Struthio camelus: one gene and its partners. The protein of the gene in region 3 interacts with the protein of the main gene of each other region in a pairwise test. Links are inferred from orthologs where the notes say so. Each region holds a gene or a part of one and is shown on either strand. Other genes may lie near its edges.

Region 1 (6,960 bases), on a different chromosome or scaffold from region 3:
CACGAGCTGTTTTGAGGCACTATGCTCCAAGCCTGTGCTGCAACCATTAAGAGCAATAATGATTCCCCTTTGCCTGCCTTCAAGAATGGAGGCACAATGGAAAAATGATGAATGCTATTAAGAAGCTTTTTTTTTCTTTTCTGGTGCCTACACCTTCCTAGCAAGTGCTATATCAAAGTATGTGTGAAAATATGAACAAAACTAGGAATTTTGCATGTTTTATAAGGTGAGCAGTGACAGGTTCACTGGCAGTGCAATTTAGAGACTTGCAGCATTACCTGAGTTCACTAATGCAGAAAGGTAGAGTACAACTTGTAAAGCAGGTATTCCTGAACTTGCTCACAGCTCATGCAATGAGTCAGAATAGTTGGATAGTCTTCAGGACAGGCCTCCATCATTATGGCTTTTGGGTTACATACATCCCACAATAAATTGTATTTGACTTAACTGCACTTTGCTGACAAAATTCATTTGCTGACTTCAGCACATAACTAGTCTGCAGTTGTGTGTATGAAGGGTCCGGCAGAGCAGCTCTGTGGCAGTGGCCATTTGGTGGTAGGAGAGCCAGGCAGCATTTGCTGGTGTCTAAGCATCTGCAAGGAAGCGGTCGCTTACAGTTTGTGCTTTTGCCCATCTCTTGTCTGGGATGTGTCCAGAGAAAACTCCAGATGACTGTAGCATCTTCTCAGGGTTGGCTGGGTATTGATGATACAGGAAGGATAGGGAGGCAAAGTCTGCAAACAACAGACTGCTTATCAGTGGATGGGCAGTAACTGCAGCTTGCGGTAGCTGACTGGGTTGACTGTTACTGAAGTTCACAGGCACTTACCCAGTGACACGTACGAGGAAGTAAAAGTTGGGACACAGTTACCTCATGCCATTTTATTGTGGGAGGTAAGAGTACTAGTGCATCAAGAGAATATGAAGGTTTGAAGGTAAATCCTAAAGCTGATAAGACATTATCAGCATGGTCCACACACTCACTTGGGTTGTGTACCCCAGATATCAAGTATGTTAACAGGGAAGTGTGTCTGTGACTAATGATAATCATGTAAGAGAAAACCTGAATTCCTAAGCTTGGGGTTTGCAGACCATCAGGCACTCAAATAAGCTACTTCTGAAACTGTCAACCGTGATCCCTCATTCTTGGTCCCAAACTAGAAAGTACTCTGGTAGCACTTTGTCCATTGTTTTTCTGTTCTGCTTTTTCTTCTTCTTCCGGTATTTTGATTCCAACTAGAGTTCAAAGTCTATATATATATATATATATATATATATATGTATGTATGTATGTATAAAATACACCTGCCTTTGATATGCGACTATCTCTTTTAACCTTCTACCTATGAGGCAAAGGATTTGTGAATTACAGGAAAGTTTGCCTGCTAAGATCTGGACAACCCTCTTGAGTTTCCCCCACATAAAACAATTTTTGGACATCATCAACAAGACATGTGGGAAGAATGAATGACCACAGTGATCAAATAAAAGGGAGATGCTTGTCAACCATAGCGTTCCTCTTCTTTCTGTTGTCCCATTCAAACTCATCTGGAAGAGAGAGTCAGATTTGATTTTCTGTGGAACAGCATAAAAATGCAAAGCTTTTGTGTTCCCATCAAACCACTGCATCTCTTCCTCCTGGGGCAGCAGAAACATTGAATGCATGGGTAAAACAGACAATTTTTTATTGTCATACTCATGAGAAAATGTTTCATGTCATGCCACCGTTCTGTCATTTGGACCTTTCCTTTCTCCATCGTTCTTTTACTGTTTCTCTCATGCTTGTCTCCATTTTTTTGTTTGATTGATTTTCTTTCTCTACTACATCTCTGAAATTCTAGCTCTGCATTGCACAGCTTTTTTCACTCTGTTCATTAACCTGATGGTAATGGACCAATTAATGTTAGCATTTTAGGGTCATCACAATCACAATGGGCTTTACAATGCCTATGTCAATGGGATTAGTAGGGAATAAGAAGTTGCATTAATTTCTTGGCGAATACGTCAACAAACAGAGATTCCCATATGAACCTCCATGACTCATGACCCATTATTGATCAAAAGCTTCATGTCAATGAACTGTTTGCTAAGTCTAATTTATATTTATCTGACTCGAAAAGCTTCAAGCTAATTAAAATCTGTAACATGATTGTGTTAAAAACAATATTTCAAAGAGGTTAGTGTCTGGTATTATTTGATTTTTCAGTTTTCAATAATTTGTTGTGTTTTAAAATCATAGAATAGCTCAGGTTGGAGGAGACCTTAGAAGATCATCTAATCTAGCCTTCCGCAGGGTCAGCCATGAGATCAGATCGGTCTTTATCCAGTCTGGTCATGAAAGCTTTCAAGGATGGAGACTGTTCGACTGTCCTCATGGTGAAAATCTTTTCCTTATACCCAGTAGGAACCTGTGGTTTCAAGTTATGTCCATTGGCTCTTATCCTTCCACCATGCAGTGCTGCGAAGAGCCTGGCTCTGCTTCCTTGGCAACCTCCTTACAGGTATTGGAAGGCTGCTTTTAGATCCCCTCAAAGCCATCTCTTCTCCAGGCCAAGTGCCATTCCCTTGGCCACCCCCAACCATCCTGCTGGTCCAGGAGCGCTGACCTCAGTCCAGTTGATCGACACCTTCCTTGTACTTGGGGCCCCAACACTGGATGCAGTCTTCTAGATGTGGTCTAATGAGTGCTGAGTGAAGGGGGGTGATCACTTCTCTCGATCAGTAGGTGCTCTGCTCCTGTTTGTACAGCCCAGGGTGCTGCTGGCCTTCTTTGCTGCCAGGGGATGCTGCTGGCTCATGTCCACTGCTGTCTACCAAGATCCCGGGTCCTTTTCAGCAGAGTTGCTCTCCAGGCAGTCAGTCCCCAGTGTGTATTGTTGCAAGGGGTTGTTCCTTTCCAGGTGCGGGAGTTTGCATTTGTACAGGTAAATGTGGAAGAATGTTGAGGAGATAGGCAATGGAAGCCAGCCAGACCGTTCCATGGGAAAAGGAGTTTCTTCAGGGCATGCTGACCCATAGTCAGGCAGCTGAGCCCATGCCAGTGTGGCGCTACACCTAGGCTTTGAATTGAGATTTGCGATGAGCTCACTATGCTTATTGTGCATGTATGTAGTCCATAAAAACTCATGTAGTGCCCCCCCGGGGTTCCTTGCCTTGGACCGACACTCGGCGGTGCCAAGGACTCTCCTGCTCCATTAATGCCTTGATCAGGAAATTGTTGGGGAACCTCTGCTTAGGTGTAGAGGTAATAAACACTCAGTATTGGCCATAGTGTTCTTGAGTTTGTGTATCTGTCCCTGCTGAGAGCCCAGGCATTGCCCCCACCTTAACAGCGTTTGTCCTTGTTGAATTTCATAAAGTTGTGTAACATTTCATTAAAATTCTCCACATTGTTCCAAAATAATTTATTTAAGGATTTATAATAGTAATTTTAAAAGGAATTTTAATGTATTTTTTACTAGTAATGTTAGTTAAAGATACATCAAATTAGTCTAGAAATGTTATCAACTTCCTCTCTCCCCAGAGGATATTGGGTCATCTTTACATGAAATGATCTGTAGCATTCCCAACAGCCATAGTTGTCCACATTACAAAATGTTCATGTTCATGAGGAACAAATAACAAGCAGAAATCAAAATCCAAAGAATCTTTTTAGTTAGGGCTTCAAATCTTTTTCAATTAGCATAAAATCCCCCCAAAAACACCTATTGGACTTCCCTTAGGGTCAAGCACATGCAGTGGTGCTCCTTTTCCTCTTTCTGTATCTAAGCATTACTCCTTCATTAAGCAAACATACCTCTTCAAATAAGATCCAGCCAAAACCACCATTTGCAGATCCACCTTGAGATTCCTCATTTGCCTTGCAGGTACCTTTTTTAAATGGGATTTTCAATGAAGAACATCAATTTAAACAAGAGGATGAATAACATCAACCTTAATGCAATAATACCTAATGTAAGTTACTTCCCTGATACGGAGTAAATGAGCCAGTAATATCCCATTGTGATGTGCAAAACTGGGTTTGGGAGAACAGTATGTAAGGTATCACCATTTATGCTACATAGCATCCAATTTTCAACCTAACTTGCTTGTTTTGTCACTTATCCATGGCATAAATTGCATATGGGCTAAAAAAAAAAAAAAACCTATATGGTCAGCATGCAGGTACCTAGGGCAGCCATACATGGCCACACCGTAAGAAGATTTTCTTTATCTCACTAAAAGTTATTTTCATATCTGTAAAATTTCAATTCTTTTTTTCTCAATTCATCTCAGAGTAAAATACAAGAGTAAGACAAAGATAAATAAACTAATCTAAGGACAACTGGAATTACTCTCTAGTCAAAAAACCATGCAAAAAAGCCCAATGAGACTACCGCTATAGAAAGTCAGTAAATTGTACTGTAGGCCAAAGCTAACATTTTACAATTTCATCTACAGTGAAAAGTACCTTAATACTATTAGTTCTAATGTTGTTAGGTTGCCAAAGGCATTACTAGTTTTGGCCTACAGTGCAGTTGACTAATTTGAAATTTTACTTCAAACTAAAATTTAAGTTGGTTAAACTTACCAGAAAACAACTAGCTTTCATAGAAAATAAACATTTTAGGAGCATTACTGTCTTTATTGTGGAATTTTTTTTTTCCATTATGATTTCTTATCTTCCAATTCTTCTAGTTACTCATGTTACAGTTTTTCTTTTTTTTTTTAGGCTTTGATTTAGAGATCAAAACCTGTAAATGGGCCACAGTAAAAGCACCTTGTGACCTCTAAAACAATCTGTTTTGTTCAGAAAAGTATGAAAACCTCAGCAAAGCAGTGACATTTGTGAAAATCATTGCTGATAAAACTATTACCAATGAGGCATGACAAGGATATTTATAAGACTAAATATTCATGTTCACATTGCAATATTAAGGTACTAATATCTTACTGTGTCATAATATATCAAAGATCATGAAATAACCTTACTTTGGACTGATGTGAGGTGAGTTTCGATTGATGTGAATTTCTACTACTGAAATAGAACTGTTTAGCAGATAGGTGACTGTGTATGATTATCATACCAGAATTTTTTAGGTAACCAAGTTATGTCTGGCTTGCGCAAATAGTGCCTGCAATGCTTGAGCCTTTTACTCTTGTTTGATTTATTTTAAGGAAGTACAGAGTACAAATGAAAAATAAAAATGGTATGTGCATACATTATAGAAGAGAGAGAGATTTAAACTATTTAAGAGGTGTGCTTTATAAATTTTCACACAATTGTGTGTCTAAAGCAATCTTTTTCCTAGAATATTTCTTGGGGTCATTTCTATTTATATTAAAGAAATCCCTGAAATACTTATATTTTATAGTATTTCCCAGAACAGTGACCTGCGTTTTCAGTACAGGTGGTTTTCTTGTTTAAAAATCACTCCATTTCTTGTTTTTACTCTATACAGATGACTCTGAAGATTTCAAATTAAGAAAAGTGCCAAAGCCCTTAGAAGAAGCCAAAAGATTAAAATTAGGGGACTGTAAAAATTATTTATTCTCATCAGGGACTGTGTGCCATGGTAACCTCACTGGATGACAAAAATATAGAGTCAGGTCTAATGATGCAATTATTTTCAAGAACCACTGTAAATTTTATTTTTGCAGAACAAGAAATGTTAGAACTACAAGACTTCAGTTATATTGTAAGCTAAATAGATTACTTTGCCTAAAATTATGCAAACTTTGCACATCTTTGCAGTATCAAACTACAAAAAGTTTATAGGACTGCGATCAAATTTTTGTCTTAATAGAGAAATGTTAACTAGAATCTATCAGCAGTAATATCTTACGTGATTGTTTTTATGAGTACAGCCTCAGACCTTTTGAACCATTTTTTCCTTTAGTCCAGGGAAGTCTTTTTCTTTTTCTTTTTTTTCTTTTTCTTTCTTCCTTTCTTTCTTCCTTCCTTCTCTTCCTTCTGTTCTTCCTTTCTTTCCCTTCCTTCCTTTCCTTCCATTTCTTCCTTCTTTCCTTTCTTTCCTTTTCTTCTCTTTCTTTTTTCTTTCCCTCTTTCTTTCTTTTTCTCTTTGTTTCTTTCTTTCTTATAGGCTCAGAATTACCATTAGGCTACTATCAGTAAATGTAATATTTTAGTTTTGGGGTTATTCTTTTTCTGGACCAGAAGTCTTATCAAAGCAAATTTTATACTGTTACTGATTACTGAATACTCATTATGATTTTTTCTAACTAACCAAAAGGATTCTGCTAAGATTTCATTACTTATAATAACGGAAGTTACTGTTGTTACTTGTAGTAACTGGAAGCTTCAAGCAAAATTGGGGTCTCTCAGTTAATGCTGGACAACATGAAGTGAGAAACAATCCCTATCCAAAAGGGCTTTCGGTCTAAGCCCTGGAATCGCGAGGCATTCTTGCATGTTATGTAATTAGATTCATTGCCTCTGAATTTTTCCCAGTCGCTCTGCCCTAAATCTTCAGAGGCATAAGATACAAAAGTTAAAATTAAGTCTCTACTGAGTGTATGCACGATGGGAAAGCACCAAAGTGTGAGAACATTTCTCAAATTAGTTGGCTTTTGTTGAGGATAGCAGAAAGTATGTCTCCTACATAAAGCCAACTATTTTGGCTACATTAAATTTGCTGCATCAACCATGAGGGCAATCGAGTTTCTGAAAAAAAAAAGTTAATGGAATGTTTTAATATTGCAAAACAACAGTCTTAGTCTTGGAAATGATTAAATGATTTTGGTTACAACTACTGAAGAAAATAGCCTGAGGCATCTATCTGACTTGGGAAATTCTGGTCCGGATATATGAAATTTGACAGGTTTAATAGCTACAGAAAAAGCAGTCTGGAAAAGACAAGTCTTTGGCAAACTTAATAGGTAGCACTACCTGTGCTTTCATATTACCTATGTTTCAATATTCATGATTTATTATTAGACATTAAGAAACAGTTATAACAG
Region 2 (6,988 bases), on a different chromosome or scaffold from region 3:
ATGGTGATGCAGTAACTCAATTGGAGCAGGACTGAGACCACGCTTGGACTTTCAGAAAATTTTTGTGCCCTTGCCACTTCCTGGGGACGGCTGCTGTGCAGAAGATGAGCTGAGAGCGCTCATCCCGACTATATCAGCACAAATCTGGCTTCCATTTTTACAAGTTCAGAGTTTGCTTTCTGCAAATGTTGTCCAGCATCTGTTTAAAAATCATGTTTTCAGCCCACAGTCAGACCACTGCCAGAATTTGGATAGGTCATGTACGAGGAGGGCCCAGGTAGAGTCAGGATGAATTACATCTAAAGTAGATTTAGCAGTCACGGAAACTTTCCCTTTTTCACAGCTTTTCCTAGGTCTTACCCTGTGCAAAGTCTGTGCCACCTTCAAGTGCTCTTGCTGCATGGTGCTATGCACAGCTCTGTCTGCCCAAGTACGTATCGTGTCCTCTTCAGAAACGACCCTGAGCTCCCAAACTAACAGCCGGTTACTCTCGGCCCCTGTCTGGGGCTCTCGCTCTTTCTGCTACCGCAACACCCAGTGCTGAGAGGTGTGTGCAAACAGAGCCTTGGTGGTTTTTTTCTGCATCTAGGTATATCCTGAGCAATGTCAACCAGTTCTCGGACTTAATAATCTCCTGTATGTCTATGCAAACATTCATCAGAGAAGCTGAGGTTATTTTGCACACTTAAAATGATCTCTCCAGCTGTCATGTGAGGAAGCTAAGCGTTACTGTCCCTGAAATGCCTAGTGTTCAGGTCTGTGCTCTACACGTAATAGCTGAGCTGTAAACAAGGGAGCTGGCTCCATTGTTTCTGATGGGATCTCGGCCAAAGGAAAACAGAGATCGCCTTCAACAATTTGGAGCCCCTGTAGGCGGACAATGCGTTGACTTTTGCCTGTGGGCAGCACGAAGCATGCCTCTACTCCAGCCCGACCGAGCAGCAGCGCCAGCCTCTAGAAGCAGCTGAGAGTGGACATGAATTCAAAGTAAGGCTGCGGGTGCAGACTGCTGAGAGGATAGATCAGGCCCTGCGCAGCTGCGACGTTTGTGTGGGAAAGCGTACTGAAAGAACTAGTTGGGACTACCAGTCTCTTTTTTCCTGTATACACTGAGATCTTTAATCTTTTGGATTTGAACGAGAAAAGCCAGGATCCCCCACTAATTCTGAACAGTTTAATGAATAACGCTCAGGGGTTGTAATTAACTAGTAGCTACCGAAAGTAGTAGGGGACGAGACTAGGGTGCAAAACATTGTCAGATGTAGGGAATGATCTTGCAGTTGCAGAACGTGAATGTTATTTGATGTGAGGTCCAGCCTGACTACGATGATGCTTCTAGCAGGCTTCTTCCGAGGAACGCTCATAAATACATCCTTCAGGTAGAAAGGCTCAACCCAAGCCATAGTAGAACAGTATGGAACAAAGTCCAAGTTAAACACAATGTGACAGTAGTTTGGGGGAAGTCAACAAGTGAACAATCATCAGAAAAGGTCCTTGTCAAAGCTAACGCTAAAGTCTCGTAGGACCAGACGCTCTTCATGTTGGTCACCAAGCTATTATGAGGCATGGCCGTACCACCCGACGTGTCCTGTTCTGGCCAGGCGTGCTTTGCGTCGTTGAAGACAGCGTGTATGTTTGTGCAGTGCAATCGATCCAGAAAGCAGAACGTAGGACATTCCTCGTCTTCCTGACGTTTAGCCATGGCTGGCGCTGACTGTCCAAATGACAGAGGAAACGTTCCTTTTATTGATGGACTGCTCGCTCAACCGCTTATAAACTGTGCTGTTGCACAGCCTTTCATAAAACAGCGTAGTGAGGATTTATGTGGGCTTGACCATGACGAGATTGAAAAAACCAAACAGCAATAGCTTGCAATTTGTAAGCCACCAGGCAACTTCCTTCTGAGAGTTCCCGTGCGCCTTTGTCAATCACAGACAAAAAAGTTAAGTGGGAAGCAAACACAAACATAATTTAATTAAGAAATGGTTTAGTGCTTTACAGTTTCAGTATTAGTCTTGCTAGAATACTGAAACATACTTTTTCAATGAACTGCCAGTACAGAGGCCTGCCTGAGATCTGCCCAGCAGTTACTTCTTTTTTTTTTTTTTTTTAAATTTTATTTACATAAGCTTCTAGTTGGGAGGGGAACATAAGATTTCAAGTGAGAAGTACCCGGCAGCCTGCCAAAGCAATAGGTATAATCCACCTTAAGTTATATATCTAATTGCTTTTGATGCTTAACTGACAGAAGCAACGAAAACCAGTAAAGCAGAGGAAGACATGGGCTGCCTGTTTCCTTAGGACATTCAGGAACGCCTCTAAAACTGCCTTTGTGCTGACACAGGTCCCGCGCAGCTCTTCCCACGCAAGCGCACCCCTGTGCAGTCGCCCGTGGGAAATCACGCGTCACCGGGAAGAGCTGTTCAAAGACTGAATAAACATGGAAAGAACTGGTTAGAAGAAGAAATGGCATTTAATTATTGACAGTCCAGTGAGTAGTGTTGCCAATACCTGGGCTATTTCTGCTGAATTTCAACATCAGCTGTTGTTGTTAGTAAAGACCGAAGTTTTGGCAGCCCAGTGTTATCTCAATTTCCCTTTAAGTGGGCCATCTCTAGCCCTCCACGTTGCACTTACAATCAAGAGCCTGCTTGAATCTAGGAAATTCTGGAAAAAAAAAAATCTCAGAAACTAAAAGAACCCAGTGTTTATTGAAAATAAATGACCGCACAAACTGAATGATCATGGTAATACTGAAAGGAGCTAAAATAATGATCCTATTATCAGGTGGCTCAGTGTGTTCCTTTTGACCTTTGATTTCTCAGTTGCCTCTTTATTATTTGGCATTGTGTTTTAACTGGCTGTAGGCTCCTCTCCCAGGTCTCACCCTCATGCAAATCAAGCATCTGAGGGCCGATGCTTGGCCTGCTTCCTCCTCCTCCAAAAAAAAATAAAAATAAAAAAAAAACCCACTCAGCAATGATTGCTGCGGGTGCCCGTTGATAACTTTGAACCACCTTGAAGGGTGATGGCATCTTTCACCAGTATTTGTTCTTTCTTCCGTTGGGTTGGCTCGTTAAGGCTAACCAAGGACTTTGCCCTTTACCTAATGGTTTCTTACGTTCCTTCGGAGCAGTTTTAGGCCGCTGTCCAAAGTAGGGCACGGTCACCGAAGAAAGAAGTCTGGAAACTTCTCAGGTCTAGCCATTGACTCGCCTTCTGTTTTACTGCTGTGACAAGCCTAAGCTGCCCGCTGCCATTGACAACCAGCTGGACTTTATAATAAAATCTTTTCCAGTACAAATTACCACCTTCAGAATAAGCTGGGTGGGGGGGGCGGGAGGGAAGGAACCCGCCATAAACTGACTTCTTTCCTTCCAGCCCATTTTTGTTCCCCTCCATGCCGGCGTGTATTTATGTACCCAGTGAAAAGTTGTCCTCAGCCTTTCGGTTTTGAGCGAGCTTTCCACCTCCATTTCGGCAGTCACCCTGTCCCAGGGAGGGGAACGACGCGGTAACACCCGTGAGGTGGGACAGCCCGTCCTGCCTGGCGGTTTAGGCCACGGAGCCAAAAATAGCACCGGGACCGCAGCGTTTTGGGCCTTTCACGGGTTTCGGGGGGCCGAGGTGACGCTACTGAGGGGCGACCCTCGGCCTGCGCCCCCCCCCCTACTGCCGGGAGCCCGCCCTGAGGGAAACCGCCACCCCCCTCCCCCCCCCCGCCACAGGGCGGGCGGCCCACAGGGCTGTCGCCCCCCGCGGCCGTTGCACGACCGTTGCCCGAGCCGCGAGGCAGCGGGCCCCGCCCACCGCGGCGCGAGGTGGTGGGGGGAGGGCGGGGAGGGGAGGGGAGCAGGGGAGGTGCTGAGTCACGCCGGGCCAGCAGAACGGCGGCGCGCGGAGGGAGAGGGGCGGGGCTGCGGCGGGGGGCGGGGCGTCTTAGTGCCGCCCCTGCCTCCCCCAGCTCCTGGGGGCGCGTGCGTCGCGGCGCGAGGGGGGGGCGGGGCCTGGCGCGCGAGATGACGCGCGCGGGCGCTATAAAAGGGGGGCGCGGGGGGCAGCGGCGGTTCAGACGCGCCGGCGAGGCTTGAGCGGAGCGGGTTCCTGCGTCAACAGTGCTTGGACGGAACCGGCCGCGCCATGGCTACGCCCCCTTCCCAAGTGCGCCAGAACTACCACCAGGACTGCGAGGCGGCCATCAACCGCCAGATCAACCTGGAGCTCTACGCCTCCTACGTGTACCTCAGCATGGTGAGCGGCGGGGCAGGGGGCTGAGGGCCGGCCCGGCGGGGGCCCTCTGTGAGAGGAAGGGGGGAGGGGCCCTGCGAGAGGGGTTGGGCCCGCCCGTGGCCTTCGGGCCTGCCGGGTGTGGGGCCTCCCCCGAGGATGGGAGCGGGGGTGGGGGGGGAAGGCCGTTGCGTGCGGGATCCCCGCTCCGTGCGATACCCGCCGTGGGCCAGGCGTTGCGCCCCTTTTTTTGTCCGGGGGAGGCCGAGCCGGGCCCGGCCAGCGTTGGGTGCCCGCCGCCGTGGCGGGTGTGTGGTGATGTCGCACCCTCCTGCGGCAAGAGGCGGTGGCCGAGGCGGGGGGTGGTGGGGGGGGAAATCTCCGTGGCCGCCCGCCCGAGTGGGGGGGTCGCGGTGCGCCGGGCGGCGCTTCCCCGGGGCGTGCCCCGGCGCTCTGGGGGCCGGCTGGCTGCCTGCGCGTGTGGTGCGTTGTTTGGGGTGTGTGTGGTTTTTTTTTGGTGCCCTTATCTCTGCGGCGAGCTTCGGTTGCGCGTTAACCGCTCTCTGTTGGTCGCCCTTGGCTGACCTGTTATCAGCACAGGTCAGCCGCTGCCAAGCGGCTCTGCCCTTGGGGCTGGGCTGGATAGCGAGGGCTGCCTAACGAAGAGATTGGCACCTGTCCCACAGGCGCCCTCCTCCGAGGCACGGTTTTGCATTCGTAGTTTTGGAGTGAATTAGTAGGAAGCCATGGTTTCCTTGGAGCTGTACTTGCATGTCTCACTTGGTGCGAGACTCCAGTTTTAGCCATAGCTGAGAGAAATAACTTTGAGTCCAAACAGCAGCTCTGACCTCTGTGCAGCAATCTCGAGTCACCTGCTCATCTAAAGCACTGACACTTCCTAGTGATGCTGCAGCATGTTAGGGCATTCAGGTGAATAACTTCCCTGCTTGCTTGGTTCTGTGTTACTGTGAAGGTCAGACCCTCAGCTGCAAGCTGAATGTAACTGTGTTGGTGGGTGATAGTGGTACACAGGCACCAGTGTCTCTCCCTGAAGCTCCTACGCCGCTGGTCTAATGGTGGTGAATTCTGTGGCAGTTAGTCTTGTAAATAACTGGCAGCTGATACAAAGCTTTCCATTGAATCCTGCCCAATGGCTTTGACCAAAAAAAAACAAACAAGCTGTGTGGTGGCTTCTGACTGCTGGTACAGATGCTTTTTGACTTGAAGATTTGTCTGGTATTTGCTGTTTAACTCTGGCGAAATACATGTTCAACTATCTTTTCAAAGTGCTGCTAGCTTTCTTCAGAAGTAAAAAGGGAATTTCTCAGTCTGTTGCCTCATAAGCCCGATGAGGCATGGGAACCTTATCCCAGAAGTATCTTAAAGGCCACCTTTAGCTTGTGTTGAAGAATCCTAACTCTGACTCATGGTCACTGTTGAACACAAACAAAGGGAGCAGGGGGAATCTCTCCTTGTAGAAGAGGAACTTGGTAGCGCTACACTTAATTTGCTGTGTTGAGGCATTTGAATGGTGCTCAGAACAGGCATCTTTGGTCCCCTTCTGAATATACTTAAGAAAAGTTTGTCTCCATTTCCTCAGTAAGCAAGTTTTGCCGCAGTCCCTTGCTGTCATCACACTGCTGCTACCTTTAGTTTGGACTCCAGCCATCTTGATAAAGGGCTGGTAGGAGGCATATCTGAAACTGCAGTACTGACTTGGGCTTGTGTGGCTGCTGTAGTGAGGGTTTGGTTTTTTAGCATGTGAATTTTTCTTTTCAGTCCTACTATTTTGACCGTGATGATGTGGCTCTAAAGAACTTCGCTAAGTACTTTCTGCACCAGTCCCATGAGGAACGTGAGCATGCTGAGAAACTGATGAAGCTGCAAAATCAGAGAGGCGGGCGCATCTTCTTGCAGGACATCAAGGTGAGAGAAATAGAGCTGTGGGTGTTTCAGGACTGTAGCACAGAGCTAGACTTGAGGTCTGTCTTCAGGCTGGAAGGAGAGGAATCCCCCAGAGGATCCTCTTGCTGGAAAACACTAACAGTAACTAAGAATACTGAATTGCTGGGATTGGTGTGCAGTGTTTGAGCTGCTCAAAATCTAGAGATGCTAAACAAAAAAAGGGGCTTTCCTGTAAGAAGAGGTGCATACACCTAACCCTGCAGCAGTTTGCCCCCCCCCCCCCCCGGGGGGGGAGGGAGGAGCAGGGAAGAAGGAAGGGGGAAGGTAACTGTAACACACTACTTGCCTTGTTCTTGCCAATGACTTCAAGATAGGGCCTTCTCGGTTCACTAGACTGTTGTGTAGAGACAATGCTCTTTACTTCATGTTCCCATGGCAAGAGAGTCATATTAAGCTTCCAGTTTCTTGCTATGGCTTATTGCAAGACTTCATGGCACTGTTTCCTTGAAGTCACTTTAATTAGATTATTTAGAACAGCAGAAAGTAATGTTATATTGTTATGCAAGACTTAACTCTTCGTGGGGAAAATGGCAGAGTGAGTTGACAGACGTTTTCAGCAGAATCCTTTTGCTAGAAGTGAGTATTTGTAAAGACCAGACTTCCCTGTTCTGGTGTATAACCTGCTTTATTTCTGAGATTGTACCCATTGCCTACCTAGGTAGGTTGATGTTTAGGCTGTTAGCTTTTGATGGGAGGAGGAGGGCAGTAGTTCTGACTTAACTACAGGAGTTCACTAAACTGAATTTGAGGAGATTTTTAAGGGAATGTGGACAGACTTGGAACCTGCTGTGTGCAG
Region 3 (7,972 bases):
TCAGGCAACGTATTTTGACAGACCAATATACAGAGCGATCTAGAACTGTACGCAACAACAATATTTAGAAGTGTATTTTATAGAGTGTAATAAAAATGAGCTTGAAGCTGTGAAAATTCTGCAAGCTATTAAAACATCAAAGGAAAAATAGCTTTCAAGCTATACATTTAAATGGGAAATTAACATTTTGCAGCGGCCTCTCCTGACTCTCCTATCTCCTATTTCATCATAGGTCTGCTTCATAACATTTCGGGCCTCTTTTTAAACTAAACCTTTTTTTGCTTTATAAGTATACCAACGTCTTGGGAGTCTGCTAAACCATTTGAAGAGTAATTCATTCTCTCCCAAGTACTTTGTCACTTTTTCCCAAACAAATCCTTCCCATTCTTGTGTGATAAGTGTCACATCTCTAAAAGTGTTGGGATCTGTAGCATAAATTCCAACTTAATCTTCATTTCCTGAAACACAGAAATCACCACACCAAACTAGAAGAATGTTTTTTCAGTACTGGGTAACTGAAAGAACTCTGTAATGATCCACATTTAAAAGGAATTCTATAATGGCAATTACTAAACTACTGAATTACTGTTCATTGCAAATGACGTTCTAAAGCCAGCACTTGCAGTAAATTTACATGCAGACTCCTGAAGACATGTATTGCTTGTCTTTTTCTATGCTATGTCAAGCGTATGTAGATATTTTCATTCATCTACGTCTTAAAAGAATATACATCTATTTCTTAAAATTCTACAAAGTTGGTGGCTTCAGAAGTATATACACAGTAATTTTCACAGATTTGTTATGCATTCTTACCAATGTTTGCCATGCGTCAATTTTACTGACTGCTTCATTGTTACTGCACTACAGGCAGTGAAAGAGAGAGCCAGACTTACAATGTTTACGTATCCGTTGTAGAAGAAGAATAAATACTAGTATTGTGTTGTTAATATAGAACTGCAGTTTGTTAAAGATATGGCTAACACTGCCCATGTCTGATTTTGCAGACGCCAATTAGGGAAGCATATATTAACAAAACCCTAAAAAGAACACAAAAAGCACAAAATACTTTACCCAGACGACAGGATCATCTCCACGTCCCGATTTTTGCTTCCATAGGGGAATCTGAAAGTCATAAAATACTTTGACTGAAGATTAACACAAGTAGTAGTTTGCCAGCGAACCCATTTCATTAGCTTACATCTGTCCTGCAACGAGAAAAAACTTGCCCAGTGTCGCTCTTTTAGCGGCACTAAGCTGCAGATAGTGTTCTGGACCACGTAACGTACTCATTCTCCTAAACCAGGAGGTTACAGGGAAGATGCATTGCATTTTGGGTTGCCCCAAAACGCATCGGATAGCCATGGGATCGATCGCCTGTGCGGCGGCCTGCAGGTCCCGCACGGGGGGGACACCGCACAGGGGGACCCCGGGGCCTTTCTGGCTGCAGGGCCGAGGCCGGAGCTGCTCCACGGCTGCCTTTAACCACGACGCGCCGACTCACCATCCTCCTGTCATTGGATATGAAGACAGCGTAAAACTCTTCCAGAGGGTATTGATCCCGACTCCTGATGTAGTCGCACAGCTTCCAAACGTTTTCTTCGCTGTAAAAGACAAGGGTTGGTTTGGGGGTTTTGTTTTGTTTGTCCCCTCTCCTGCTCGCAGTCTCGTTTCTAGTAAGGAGCGCTAAGCCAAGCACTGATGTCTGCCGAAAGCCTCCCGGCTCGGGCTCGGGTCTCCCGCCTGCCTGCAGCGCGGCCCGCGGCCCCGACGGCGCCCCCCGCCTCCCTTCCTCCGTGATGCTACGCAAAACCTCCAAGCTGGTTTTGCTTCTTCTTCTTCTTCTTTTTTTTTTTTTTAAACAAAAGGCCGAGCCCGGGGCTGCCGCTCGGCTCTGCGGCGCGGGGAGCACCGCGGCGGCGGCCGCCCCCCCTTACCAGTAGCAGCTGGTGTAGGCGCAGGCGGGCCGGGGGGGCACCGCCGCCTCATAAGCGGCCGCCGGCCGCGCCATGGGCGGCCTTAGCCGGCCGCAGCGGTGCTCTGGCGGGGCGGCGGCGCAGCATGGCCGGCGGCACGGCGCGGCTCAGGAAGTGCTGGCGGCAGCGGCGGCGGGGGAGTTACCGGCTATGGCTTCCGCGAGGAAACGCGGCTGCTCGGCAGCGAGGGGGCGGCCGGCCGGCCCGCGCCGGTAGGGAAAGCGCCCTACCGCCGCCATCTTAGCGCCCCCCCGCAGGGCGCTTCCCGCCGAGCCGGGAATAACGGGCGTAACATGGCGGGCAGGCCCCCGGGAGCGGTAAAAGCGAGTGTCAGGCGAGAGCAAGAGGGGATTTTTATCGTCCTGGGGGCTGGCAGGGAGCACAGACAGGGTCGCGGCTGCCTGAACTCACCAGATAAACGTTAATGCTGGATGCAGGTGCTTGGTGTGGCCTTCTGTCCCCTTTTTGGCTGCAAGTGGAAAGGGGTTTTTGAACAACAGGCTGACCTTGGAGGCTGGTGGGTGGCAGTCTGGCCTACCGAGGAGCTCCTCGTGCTTTTCTGTCCTGTGCCAGGGGTATGTGGATGTTTTCATCCCTCTGCTCCTTGCAAATACAAAGCTCTTGCGTCCAAGGCAAGTAGAAAAACTGAGAAACACTCAGGGGTTGCTTAAAGTGGGGCAAAATGGGTCAGCCTTTCATGAAACGTTCATGTGACAGCTTTGGGGGAGTGCTGGAAACAGGTAACGCTTAGAAATGGGGAGAGCCAAAAAGGCAGAAGCAAGGGAGCTTGCTGGCATCACTGCCTCTGCCTGCATGGACTGACTGTGTAAGTACTGCTAACGCCTTTGACCCAGCGAAGGGAATTTTCCTGTGCCCAAATGCATAGCGGCCCTCTCTCTGCTGTTTTGTGCTTTGGATCTTGCCTAAGCACAGGTGATTCCTGCAAAACATCTGTTCTGCAAAATACAAGTTGACGTTAATAGGAGGGCTCCTACAGGGAGGAGGGAAAGTGAGAGAAGTAACTTGCTGTTTGCAGGGTAACAAAGCAAGCGCACCTCCCCAGTGCGTTTTGAGTCTTCAGGTTACTTGATCCATTTCTGTTTTCTGCTGTTTCAGGTGCAGCTTCTGTACAGTGCATGTTTTTCAGGCACGCTCGGACCACCTCGAGCTTCTGCAACGTCTTTTTGTGCCGGTGAATGGCCTGAACATACACTGCTTTTTGCTCTATTAGACCCTGTGCACTGCCGAATGTCAGCTTTTGTTCTCTGCTTACAAAACACTTCTGTGCAGATAAGCCTAGGGTGATTCACCCAGTAGGTGAAGATAATGCTGTCTCCAGGGAAGGTGCCGGAAAGCTTGAGGTTTTGAGGTTTGATTCGTATTTTGTTAGCATTTTTTTTCTTTTCCAAACATGATGCTCCTGAAAAGCTGTCTTCGTGTGATAATCTCTCATTCTGATGAAAAAACTCTGGTGTAGAAGGTTTTAATAACTGGAAGTCAGTTATCATCTCTGTACCAACCAATTAGAAAGCAAACGTGCATGCATTTTAAAGCAAATATGTGGAAGAAAACACTTCTTTACTGTGGGGGTGGTCAAACACTGGGGTGTGTTGCCCAGAGAGATTGCGGGGTCTCCATCTTTGGAGACGGTCAGAAGCTGACTGGACGCAGCCCTGGGTGACCTGCGCTAGGTGACCCTGCTTGAGCAGGGGGCTGGACTGCAGACTCCAGAGGTGCTCTGCAACCTCAGCTGTTCTGTGCATTTTGGTATTGAATGATTGCCTTAAGCCTTTACTGTTGTTTTTTTTTTTTCCTTTAGTAGGAGGAGGAAAACAAAATGGGGGCGTTTTCCCTGTTAAATACAACTTCAGCATTGACAGTTTGGAGTAACACTGGCTTTGGATATGTGGTAGGCCATGTAGCGCTGCCCTGCCCTACTAGGGTCCCAAAGAGTTAGGGACCGGAGTTTCCTAAACTAGGAACCTGCAGTCATCCTACGGCTTTTCCAGGGAGATCTTTGAGCGTGTCGGAACAGAAAACCCGAGGTCGGGCCAGGGGCGCTGCAGCCGTCCGCCCTGCGCGCCTGAGGTGCGGGCGCCTTTAAGAGACTGCGCTGAGAGAGCCGGCCTTCCCCGCCCCCGCCCGGCGGGAAGCAGCGGCGGCGGGGGGGGGCGGGCCCCGCGCGCGCCTCCCAGCCAATCGGGCTCCGGCAAAACAACCTGCTTCGACTTTCACGCGCCAAAAATATCAAAAGGCCGCGGCGCGAGCTGTGCCCCTCCGCCATCGGGGCCGGGACTAGCTGCCGGAGAGAAAAGAGGCCGCGGGGAAGGCGGGGCGGAGCGCTCTCCGCCGGGCCAGGCCGGGCTAGGCGGGGGCGGGCAGGGCAGGGGGGCGGTGACGGCGGGGAGCCGCGCTCGCCGGCGGTGCGGCACAGCGGCAGGGAAGGGCAGGGGGGACGCGGCGGAGGGATCCGAGGGGAGGGCGGCGATCGCGGCGGCGCGCGGGCTGTGGCGCCAGAATTCGGAGCGGCGCCGCGCGACCCCAGGGCCGCCTCGCGCCGCGCCCGGCCCGGCCCGGCCCGGCCCGCCATGGTGGTCCTGCGGAGCAGCGGCGCTCAGCGGCCCGGCCCCGCGGCGCGCGACGGCGGCGGCCGCCGCCGCCGCCGCCCGCCCTTCGACCTCATGGACTCCAGCTCCGAGTTCCTCTCCCTGGAGTCTCCCCCGCTCGGCGGCCGCCGCGCCTGGACGCGCTCGGGGGCCGCCCAAGGACCCAAGGGCGCCGGGGGGGCGGCGAGAGCGGCGGAGGAGGTGAGGGCGTGGGCGGAGGGGGGGGGCAGGGCTGGCCGCTGGGGAGGCCTCGGGCTTGGAGCGGGGGCCGCCCCGGTGGAGGTGGCCGTTGGCTGGGCTGAGGCAGCCGCGCGAGCGGGTCCCGGGGCAGGGCCGGGCCGGGGAGGGCGTTGTGCTCGGCAGGCTTTGAACCCGCGGGCGCCATTGAGGCAAAGGGGGCAGTCAAGGCCCCGCCGCTTGCCCGAGTGTGGCCAGGTGGTGCTGTGCGCTCGGCTCTGCGGTGTAGGCCGCAAAGAACACGTCTGCGAGCCTGGGACTGCCTCCTGTGCGTCCCTCCAGAGGTAACCGAGCTTGTCATCCATCCCTCTCTATCGGTGGTAGAAGTAGAGCTCTTCCACTGTGTAGGCAGTATAGAAGCACCGGAGATAGGGGTCTCGTGAACGGGGGAGGGGGGAGGAGGGGAAGAGTACTTAAGGTAAGGTCGTATAACGATTGAGTTGCTGTATATGAAAAAGTTACTCCGTGTCTGCAAAGCCACAATAAGAACTGCTTTTTGCAGCTTCCGAATGCAAAATGTATCAGTTTCGGTCTCTAAAATTGATTTATTTTTGCTTTGAAAGGAGGGGAACTTGATGCAACCCACCGCTGGCCTGGGATACTAGTGATAGCTTGCTAAAAGACAGTAATTTGGTTGCCTGCAGCTGTGTGAACAGGTGTTTTTGCATCCCCTTAGAATTTGGTATGGTGCCTTTATTTCCTATTCCTAGGTTATTTCGATTAAATTTGTTACCTAAAAAATCATCTTGGAAAGAGCTTGGAAATGTTTTTACTTCAAGATCATCGAGGTGAAGTTTATAGGGAGGGTGCTTATTGTTTGGATGGCATACGTGCATCAAATATAATGTTTGACACAAAATATATTTTATTTGTAACTGCACTCGAGCTGAATATCTGAAGTGCCTGTGAGATATGCTCCAATGAAATATATATAGTTACCGCTTTGGATGCTTTTAAAACAAAGCTGTGTTTAAGAATCAGGGTTACTTTGTACTTAATTAAAGTGCTTATTTGCGTAACCTAAAATAGTGAAAATTCTGCTTATTTTTGTTAATAACCTAGGGCAAGATGCTAGGAGAAGAAGTCTCAACGTGCACCATTTTAAACCAGATTAAGTACTCCGTGCTGTCTGCATCTCAGTGTTGCTACTATTCATAAGTGAACAATTTCACTTTGAGAAGTTTATTGCTTTTTAATGTAGCTTTCAAAAGCTGCGAATCTTCCCTGGTCTTTCCAAGTCAGGCTGTTCTCAGTGGGGTATTCCTCATTTCCATGGCAACTAAGGGCAGACCAGGTCTAAGTCAAAACTTTGGTCTGATCTTCAGGGCAGCCCTGCCTTGAAGTGATGCTTGTTGTGCACTCTGTTTCCTTATAGCAGAACTATTCCAGGATTTGTGGTTGGTTTTTTTTTTTGTTTTTTTTTTTTTTTAACGTTTGCTGAGCTAGGAAGGAAGAAATCCTTGGGGTGCTTTTTTCTTTAAGCAGATTCCATATCTGCTTACAAAGATTGCTACTTTGTTTTTGCGGTGTATGCTAAAAATGGTTGTCAAAGACAAGGAATTCTGTTGCAGGTGGGGGAAGGCTACACAGGCAAAGAAAGCAGCTGGCACACGTTTTCAGTACCTGGAGAACAGGAATGAGGAAGTTAAATGTAAACTTTTTACTAAAACCAAAGCAGAATGATTACTGATCATTGCAATTGGTTGTAAGATTTTTCCTTCTTTCCTTTTTTCCCTCCTCTTTTTCATAGACCTTTCCTATGTTTCAAGTTATGGAATCCTTTTTGCTTCCTTTGTAGGTCAGTGAGGCTTTGCTGGAGCGTTCTAATTGCAGAGACAATGTAGGGTTGCCCTAGATGACAAAGATGATGATCCTGGTCTTGGCTGCGTGCTCAAAAGTCTTAATTTATCTTCCTTACTTGTTGATGTGCAAGGACTTGCTGGCAGCAGCTCTTGCAGGTTTTCTGATACCAGGGAGCTATTCAGGTTATTTCACCCGTATGGAGTATGCAGCGTATGGTAGAAAGACTGTTAAACTGAACAAGAATCTGATGGGTTATATTCTCTCCTGTTTCCGGTCCCAAGGAAGATAACAGGTGGCAGTTGTCCCTTTGGAAGCTGTGTATCTACAGGTTTTAACCCTGGTGTAATTACCCGGGCTGAACAATGTTGTACGGTGACCTGTACTTGAGGCCTGTGTGCTCGAGTTCCCTTTTGCCTGAACAAAGCAAAACTTGCACTTGGGCAGGCTGAGTCTTCCTTGACCCCTCTCTGTAGAGACTTCAGCACTAGAGTTCACAGCCTTGTAGCCTAAGCATATTTACGTGATGGCGCTTTGACGTGTAGTTTACTTCCTTAGAGATATGAGATAGCTGCATGCAGTTTTTGTAAGAAGTCTTTTAAAAAGCAATTGTTAATCACTTCATGTGGCACGAGGAAAGTAACAACTACTTTCAAAGTTAGAAATACTTTTCAAAATCCCTTTTTTCAGTTTCCTTATGTTTTAGATTTAGCCTTATTCTTCTATTTGATCTCACTTTTTGAGTGCTCCCCTCCTCTGCCCCCCACCCCCACCCCAGCCTGATCTGGCTGATAAGAGCCTGTTACTATTGCTCTGCTGACAGCCTGCTGGAGTTACTCTGGTGTTCTTGGTGTTTACAACCTCATTGAAATGGGATGCCATCCATATGAATGGAAGACAGTCAGAGTTAGCAATATCCACTGTTTCTGCTTTGGCTGTATCCTTTTAATTTGAGTCAAGATGAAGACAGCACAGAAGATAAATATAACAAGTAATTGTATTGTGGACAGAGACTTAATTTAAAAAAAAAAAAATAACAACACACAGAAAGTCATTATACTGCTTTATCTAACCTGTATGGTGACGTCTTCCGAGTGTTCATTCTTCCTTTTAACTGGGCTTTGGCCCGGAGGTTTAAAGGAACATATTACTTGTCATTATCTGTTCGCTTGTATTGCAAATTTTTCACGTTGTTAAGACTTCTCCCAAAGAATATTTACTTCTGGGTCAATGAAGGATAAATATCCAAAGCAATAGTTGTAAGTTGCGAAATATCCAAAGCAATAGTTACAGGTTGCGTGTCTTGGAGTTTAAGTAAGCTGAATCTTCTGGAGTTGCTCCCAAATTTGGAGTCTA

Evidence for each region. The genes of interacting proteins can lie anywhere in the genome.
Region 1: the proteins of NTAQ1 (region 3) and XIAP interact in binary tests that used the Homo sapiens proteins (3 or more experiments, as listed by UniProt). The two-hybrid records come from large-scale screens. The link is inferred for Struthio camelus from reciprocal best matches to the Homo sapiens genes NTAQ1 and XIAP.
Region 2: the proteins of NTAQ1 (region 3) and FTH1 interact in a two-hybrid assay, tested with the Homo sapiens proteins (2 studies listed by BioGRID and IntAct). The two-hybrid records come from large-scale screens. The link is inferred for Struthio camelus from reciprocal best matches to the Homo sapiens genes NTAQ1 and FTH1.

Annotation. Positions count from the first base shown.
Region 1 is NC_090952.1:11,059,519-11,066,478, reverse strand, and holds the start of XIAP (E3 ubiquitin-protein ligase XIAP), read left to right. Parts: upstream 1-3,903; 5' UTR 3,904-3,918; coding exon 3,919-3,954; intron 3,955-6,960.
Region 2 is NC_090946.1:7,331,737-7,338,724, reverse strand, and holds the start of FTH1 (ferritin heavy chain), read left to right. Parts: upstream 1-3,931; 5' UTR 3,932-4,140; coding exon 4,141-4,251; intron 4,252-6,006; coding exon 6,007-6,153; intron 6,154-6,988. UniProt on the Homo sapiens protein: Stores iron in a soluble, non-toxic, readily available form. Important for iron homeostasis. Has ferroxidase activity. Iron is taken up in the ferrous form and deposited as ferric hydroxides after oxidation. Also plays a role in delivery of iron to cells.
Region 3 is NC_090943.1:160,183,610-160,191,581, reverse strand, and holds the start of NTAQ1 (protein N-terminal glutamine amidohydrolase), read right to left. Parts: upstream 3,097-7,972; 5' UTR 2,567-3,096; coding exon 2,385-2,566; intron 2,269-2,384; exon of another isoform or gene 2,009-2,268; coding exon of another isoform or gene 1,935-2,008; intron 1,602-1,934; coding exon 1,502-1,601; intron 1,123-1,501; coding exon 1,072-1,122; intron 1-1,071. Other genes in the region: ATAD2 (ATPase family AAA domain-containing protein 2), read left to right, coding at 4,562-4,780. UniProt on the Homo sapiens protein: Mediates the side-chain deamidation of N-terminal glutamine residues to glutamate, an important step in N-end rule pathway of protein degradation.